Linked DNA regions of Arabidopsis thaliana. The protein of the gene in region 2 purifies or fractionates together with the protein of the main gene of each other region. This does not show direct contact. Each region holds a gene or a part of one and is shown on either strand. Other genes may lie near its edges. The genes, in order: STRS2 and AGP31.

Region 1 (3,928 bases), on a different chromosome or scaffold from region 2:
CTGTTCCTAAGCAGAGACAAACATTTTTATTTTCTGCCACCGTACCTGAAGAGGTTACTGTCACTTTCTAGTACAAAGGCTCTCATTTTTTGGGTTGGAATCTTGAACTGTGTTTTTTGGTGTCAAGGTCCGCCAAATATGCCATGTTGCTCTGAAACGGGATCATGAGTTCATCAATTGTGTCCAAGAGGGCTCTGGGGAGACACATCAAAAGGTAAAAGATTTCTCTTTAGCTTAATTTGAGTGAATGGCCTGCCATATGATTGGATGTTATCAGTTTCTTATGTTTGTTTTATCTCCAGGTCACACAAATGTACATGATTGCATCACTGGATAGACATTTTTCGCTTCTACATGTGCTTCTTAAAGAACACATCGCAGATAATGTGGACTATAAGGTAACATTATCTCTCTAGTGCCATTATGAATAACCAATGTCTGTATTTCTGAACTATCCCGATTTCGTTGCTGTTGTAGGTTATCATTTTCTGTACAACTGCTATGGTGACAAGATTGGTGGCTGATCTGCTTAGTCAGCTAAGCCTGAACGTCAGAGAGATCCATTCTAGAAAACCGCAGAGTTACAGAACCAGAGTTTCTGATGAGTTCCGCAAGTCCAAGGCTATTATCCTAGTCACATCTGATGTATCTGCTCGTGGTGTGGATTACCCTGATGTGTCATTGGTCGTACAGGTAACCATAGTTTTCTGACATGGAATTGTTCTGCGACTACAAATTTTATCTCTTTTGTTTAACTGAAGTTGTTTGCTTTTGCAGATGGGATTGCCATCAGACAGGGAGCAGTATATACATAGACTTGGCAGAACCGGGCGGAAAGGGAAGGAAGGGGAAGGAGTCTTATTGTTGGCACCATGGGAAGAGTACTTTATGTCATCTGTTAAAGACTTGCCCATCACCAAGTCTCCACTACCGCCAATAGACCCAGAGGCTGTGAAAAGGGTAAGCATTTTCATATAAGCGCACTCACATGAATTTGTGATTCTACTGAACTTGGCAAGCCTTTCTTAACTCATATTTGCTGGCAATCCAGAATGAGTAGGGAACTTGAAACTGAACCTGAATCTCATAACACAACTCTTTGAAGTTAAAAGCTATGATTTTTGAAGGGTGTGAGTATGAGTGAGTATTGCTGGGTATAATAAACTTGTTGAATTCAGGTGCAGAAAGGGCTGAGCCAAGTGGAAATGAAGAACAAGGAGGCGGCGTATCAGGCGTGGTTGGGTTACTACAAATCTCAGAAGATGATTGCAAGAGACACGACCAGACTGGTGGAGCTGGCCAATGAGTTTAGCCGCAGCATGGGACTTGACAGCCCACCAGCTATCCCCAAAAATGTTCTTGGCAAGATGGGTCTCAAAAACGTTCCTGGTCTTAGAACCAAGTAGATTTTCTTTTTTCCTAGTGATCTGCTTTGGTTTTAAAACTTTAATGTTTTGTAAGTGTAGACGTGTAGTCTCTTGTCATTCTTGCTACACTCTTAAGACTTCCTAACTAAAAAATCCTATAAAAGTTGCCTTCTTATAAAGGTCTTTTGTTTGTAATGGCTTGTTAACATGAGTATTTCGATTTTCACTAAAAAAACAAAAAAAGTATTAAGTTGGATTATACGTGTTTGAAGATTTAACAAAACTTTTTTCTGATATAAAACAACACGTTTCAAAGCAAAGGGAGCAACTACATGCCGTTTTGTATATTTGTTGACATTTTGGGCCACTCGCATCTGTACCCTTAAGCCCTAAATTGTGTTTCCTACAAAACCTTTTAAACCCTAAAATAACCGACGGCGGGAATTTGGTAGTTGCAGAGCCTTACAGTTAAAGGCATACGCTTCACCGTTCTCTTCCGTCTTTTCTCCACTCGTTGGCATGAATTCCGATGGACCCAAATCCGGTAAGAAGAGACGAGAGATTCGTGCTAAACTTGTGAAGAAGTTGACGAGTGACGAAGATGGCTCGGGAAAGCTAGTCAAGGACAACAATAAGAGTCTAAAGAGGGGAAGAGAAGGCAAATCTGATGTTGATGAGCCTCTTATTAAGAAACCAGCTTCTACTACGCCTCTAGTGACTCAAATTGCTAAAACTTCAGATTCTTATTTGTCAAAGACAAGGTACATTTTTTGCGTTTCTTTCGGAGATAGCTTCAGAGCTATTCTTAGTGGTGTTTGATTCAGATTTCTCTTTATGGTAAAATGGTTCTTACAGATTTGATCAGTTCCCACTGTCTCCCTTAACGTTAAAAGGAATTGAGGATGCTGGATTTAAGACAATGACTGTTGTTCAGGAGGCTACTCTTCCTCTCATTCTCCAAGGTGAACTTGCCTAAAAGGCAGAAACTTTTGCATCTTTCTTCATGATTCCTTATGTTTTGTCATGACTTAAACATTTTGAAGCTTGACTATTCCTCTATTAATTATTCTTCCTTGGTTTTCCAGGTAAAGATATCCTTGCGAAGGCCAAAACAGGCACTGGGAAAACAGTTGCATTTTTGGTGAGATACCCTTTTTGGGTTCATGTTGGTCATTTAGGATTACAATCAGTTTGATTAATTGGGGTTTGTTATTAATGTTGATGTTTCTTTTTCCAAGCTTCCATCAATTGAAGCTGTTATCAAAGCTCCTCCTGCAAGCCGTGATAATAGGCATCCCCCAATTATTGTGCTTGTGGTATGTCCTACTCGGGAACTTGCTTGTCAAGCTGCTGCAGAAGCAAACATCTTGCTCAAGTATCACCCATCTATTGGTGTTCAAGTTGTGATTGGAGGCACTAAGCTTCCTACGGAGCAAAGGCGCTTGCAAAAGAGTCCTTGCCAGGTAAATTTTCATTTGTATTAATATGTAAACTTATTTCTGAGCAAATCATGCATTTCCATTGAGCTGGACTTCTCAGATGAAACTTGTTATCTGACCAATAGAGTTGCATATATTTCTTTTCAAACTGAGTTGGTTATCCTTCGCTAGAACAATATGGACTCATGATTTGAATTTCTAAGAATATGAATTAAGATAGATTGTTTTTTAAAAAGAAATGGATTTCCCTGTCCAAGTTAGGATTGTTTTTCAGTCACAGGATATGTTCTTTGATCTAAGCCTCATTATGCATTTAGATTTTTTTGCATTATTTGTCTTCCCTGCAGTCAAAGTGGCTGCAGAGATGGTGATCTTTGTCTCTGTATATTTTTGAATAATAACATATTTTCACACTCTCAGATTCTCGTGGCTACACCCGGAAGGCTCAAAGACCATATCGACAACACTTCTGGATTTGCAACAAGGTTGATGGGTGTGAAAGTCCTTGTGCTTGATGAAGCTGATCATCTCTTGGACATGGGTTTCCGAAGGGAAATTGAGAGGATAATTGCTGCTGTTCCTAAGCAGAGACAAACATTTTTATTTTCCGCCACAGTATCTGATGAGGTAAGTGTCAGTTTCTTGCACAAAGGCTTTCACTTTTGGGTTGGAATCTTGAACTGTGTTTTTTTGCTATCAAGGTCCGCCAAATATGCCATGTTGCTCTGAAACGGGATCATGAATTCGTCAACTGTGTTCAAGAGGGTGCTGGGGAGACGCATCAAAAGGTAAAAGATTGCTTTTTAAGTTCATTTGAACCAATGGCCTGCCATATGATTGGATGCTAATGGTTTCTCATGTCTGTTTTATCTCCCAGGTTTCACAAATGTACATGATTGCATCATTAGATAGACATTTCTCGCTTCTATATGGTCTTCTGAAAAAACACATCACAGATAATGTGGGCTATAAGGTATATTGTTCCTCCAATGCCTTTGTTAATCACCACTGTAATTCTGGATTAACATGATCTCCTTGCTGTTGCAGGTTATTATTTTCTGTACAACTGCTATGGTTACAAGATTGGTGGCTGATCTGCTTGGTAAGCTAAGCCTTAACGTC
Region 2 (3,928 bases):
CTAAGAGTTTATTTCTTAATTATATTTATTTTCGTTTTATTCATAATAAATCGAATAACGGCAAAAATGTTTACACGTACAATTTATAATCTTAAGAGATTGGGGAAACAAATCACCAATAAATTTGCAACAATGATATTATCCTATAATTATAGACTAATGAAAATTTATATATACACAAAAATGTAAGGGCAAAGACTACCACGAAAGTAGCCATATTTCTTGGAGGGAAATGTGGTAAGTTCACGATGCATACTTTTTTGGGCGTATTTATTATTTTTATTAAATTCAGTAAAACGTAAAAGCAAAGAGAATCATTCCAACGACAAGAATGATTAGTCTACTATGTAAATGTAATGATACATCATCGCGTTATCGGATTTAAACATTTAAACAATTATGGCCCATAATTGTGTTATATCTCTAGTGAGACGTTTAGACCAAAGCATCCAAAGATAGGTTTTATTTGAAGAATAAAAAATTGATAGGGTGGGTGGGTCCAATATTGGGTCCATCATTTTTTTTCCATACTTTTGCAGGTAACACGAAAATGTAACATGACATGTCTCTCTCCGGACAAAAACATTTCTCCCACAACTGTAATAATTTAAGTTACCAGTTCGTGAATATTACTGATCATTGTAGAAATGGTGGGGTAAGACCTACTCGTGAATCGATTTAGAAGTTTTAAAATTAATCTTTACACAGAAAAAAACAAAAAAAACATTCAGACAAACAACAGGAAAAATATCTAAGCGTAATTTGTTTAACTATTTGAAGAACAGTAATCTCAATAATGATGGATTCAAATTTGAATATATTTGGCTTGTTAAGAGATGAGTAATTTTTGTATTATAGAGTTGTCTTATGTATTTAGTATGTTATCAGCAGCTGACTTGTGTAAGAATATTAGACTTACGTGACCAAACTTTAATGTATTATGTTACTTGTTTTTAGCAAAAAAAAACATTAAATCGTATTATGAAAATAAATGTTCTAAAGCAATTGAGCGACATGTGCTATTCAATGCAGCAATTACGCTCAAAGTCTCCCGAAGATCTCATTCAGTGATCTATTATAAGAAAATAGTGAAAAAAACACATCAGATTTACATAAATGTGGTTCCATTAATCACAATGTATCAAATGAAAGTTTTGTTTGCTCTTCATATAAGTAATGGCAAAGTCACTTCGACTCTCTACTTAGTATATAGAAAATAATTGAATACTACATGTTTAGTAGGACAATTGTTGAAATACTTTTATAGAATGGTAGCTTAACCTGTGTCACAAATGCCAATCAAAATGTTATACATACTACTTTCAAAACAAAATTGTTTGACATAATCCAAAAAAAATTCAATCAATTATGCAAACCAGATTTGGTAATTTATAACTTCGGATTACAATCAACATCGATAGTATACAATCACGAATCAGATGCCTGACTACTATATCAAAGTTTTTTACTATCTCATATGTGAATTATGGTACTAAATTCCTTTAAAAAAAATTAATGCCTGTTATTACCATCACTTATGATTTTTCTAAATACATAGATAAAAATTATCAAAAACTTTTGCATGTTAGCTTGGATTTCAAAACAAAATTGCTTTCTTTGATATAATGTCAAAACAAAAAGTTCACAAAACAAATTATAATGACAATTCAAATTCAACATTACTATTACTCATGCTATAAAACAATTTCCTAAATTTTATAGTATCCCAATATCTTACTTTTGTTAAAGTATTTACTAATGTTCACTTTATATGGATCACCAGTGATAATAGTAAAGTTATTGTGTGTGACTATATATCTTTTTTTTTTTTTTGTGACTATATTATTCAACAAATTGTTTTTTTTTTTTGATAAAAATACACCAACTTGACATATCTTAGACGATCTAAACACACATCAACTAATTAATAGGCGATCTAAATCTTACTTATATTAAATCTAATTTTATTATCATAAAAAAAAAAGATCTTACACTTATTAGTCCTTTTTTATATATTTTAGACGACAAATGTTTACTAGATGGGTAAAGATTTTTTTTTTGGTAAAATTGGGTTAAGATCTTTTTAACATTGGTTCACCAGGGATGTGACTTTTGTTTGGTCGTAATAGTAGAAAATTTGCATATCACATTTTTTCAGATGTGTAGGAAACAATGACCATTTTAATGTTGTTGGATAACTAAAGTTTTCCATCTTGAATATCTATCAGAAGAAAAAAAGAGTAACAAAAAAAAGAGAGTAACAAAATGGTACTAGTGACTTTTTTTTTTTTTTTTTTTTTGGGCACAAAATGGTACTAGTAACTAATAATGGGGTAATTCATGTCGATCGATTTTGATTTACTATTTACAAATAAAAGGGAGTAATTTCATGACACTCGAAGCGTGAACCTTCCACCTATATATACACCCATTTCATAATCTCAAAACATATCACTAACCCAAAAACAAAACAAAAAATGGGTTTCATTGGTAAGAGTGTATTAGTGAGTCTCGTAGCACTTTGGTGCTTCACTTCCTCTGTCTTCACTGAAGAAGTGAACCATAAGACTCAAACCCCTTCTCTAGCTCCTGCTCCTGCTCCTTACCACCACGGCCACCACCACCCACACCCTCCTCATCACCACCACCCTCACCCTCACCCTCACCCCCACCCACCGGCCAAATCTCCTGTTAAACCCCCGGTTAAGGCACCAGTGTCTCCACCAGCCAAACCTCCGGTTAAGCCCCCGGTTTACCCACCCACCAAAGCCCCGGTGAAACCCCCAACTAAACCCCCGGTCAAGCCACCTGTTTCCCCACCAGCCAAACCTCCGGTTAAGCCACCAGTTTACCCTCCAACCAAAGCTCCAGTTAAGCCCCCAACTAAACCCCCAGTCAAGCCACCAGTTTACCCTCCAACCAAAGCCCCGGTTAAGCCCCCAACTAAACCCCCAGTCAAGCCACCAGTTTACCCTCCAACCAAAGCCCCGGTTAAGCCCCCAACTAAACCCCCGGTCAAGCCACCAGTTTCCCCACCAGCCAAACCTCCAGTTAAGCCCCCGGTTTACCCTCCTACCAAAGCTCCGGTTAAGCCTCCGGTTTCTCCTCCGACGAAGCCACCTGTTACACCGCCGGTTTACCCGCCTAAGTTCAACCGTAGTCTAGTCGCCGTTCGGGGTACGGTTTACTGCAAAAGCTGCAAGTACGCTGCTTTCAACACACTCTTAGGCGCTAAACCCATCGAAGGTTTGAACTATTTTCTTTGTTAATTACTACTATTTCTTCCACTTCATTATTCAGTTTATTCACTCATACATGAGACATACCTCAGTAACAATCTCTCAAACAACTCAACTTGGCTCTGCATACGCATTCAAACAGTGTATATATCTATAAAATAATACGTACTTCATATCTTAATCATGACGCATATTTCAGAAAATAATTCAAATTTGAAAACGTTACAAGTGGGACCTTTGTTACGTAAGTAGTCAATGTTTCGAAAATAGGTGTGAAATAAAGAGAGTGACTATGTACACTTCTGCACTCATCAGTCACTGTTTTTTACAGTCTGGCCAATAAATTTCACTACTTCCCACAAAAATAATTAAAAACACATAACTATATCCTTTTATTCTATAAACATATCGGACTAATATTTTTTTATGGGTTTGTGCAGGTGCTACGGTGAAACTAGTGTGTAAGAGCAAGAAGAACATAACAGCGGAGACGACGACAGACAAGAACGGATACTTCTTGTTGTTGGCTCCTAAGACGGTGACGAACTTCGGTTTCAGAGGATGTCGTGTGTATTTGGTGAAATCAAAGGACTACAAATGCAGCAAAGTCTCAAAGCTCTTCGGTGGAGATGTCGGCGCTGAACTTAAGCCTGAGAAAAAGCTGGGAAAATCTACGGTGGTCGTCAACA

The links.
Region 1: the proteins of AGP31 (region 2) and STRS2 fractionate together in Arabidopsis thaliana (co-fractionation; one large-scale study listed by BioGRID). This does not show direct contact.

Annotation. Positions count from the first base shown.
Region 1 is NC_003076.8:2,792,654-2,796,581, forward strand, and holds the start of STRS2 (DEA(D/H)-box RNA helicase family protein), read left to right. Parts: upstream 1-1,734; 5' UTR 1,735-1,886; coding exon 1,887-2,128; intron 2,129-2,222; coding exon 2,223-2,329; intron 2,330-2,452; coding exon 2,453-2,508; intron 2,509-2,605; coding exon 2,606-2,830; intron 2,831-3,226; coding exon 3,227-3,433; intron 3,434-3,507; coding exon 3,508-3,594; intron 3,595-3,683; coding exon 3,684-3,779; intron 3,780-3,853; coding exon 3,854-3,928. Other genes in the region: PDE340 (P-loop containing nucleoside triphosphate hydrolases superfamily protein), read left to right, coding at 1-53, 128-214, 303-398, 478-693, 778-960, 1,179-1,406.
Region 2 is NC_003070.9:9,889,393-9,893,320, reverse strand, and holds the start of AGP31 (arabinogalactan protein 31), read left to right. Parts: upstream 1-2,305; 5' UTR 2,306-2,477; coding exon 2,478-3,246; intron 3,247-3,679; coding exon 3,680-3,928. UniProt on the Arabidopsis thaliana protein: Proteoglycan that may contribute to the strengthening of cell walls.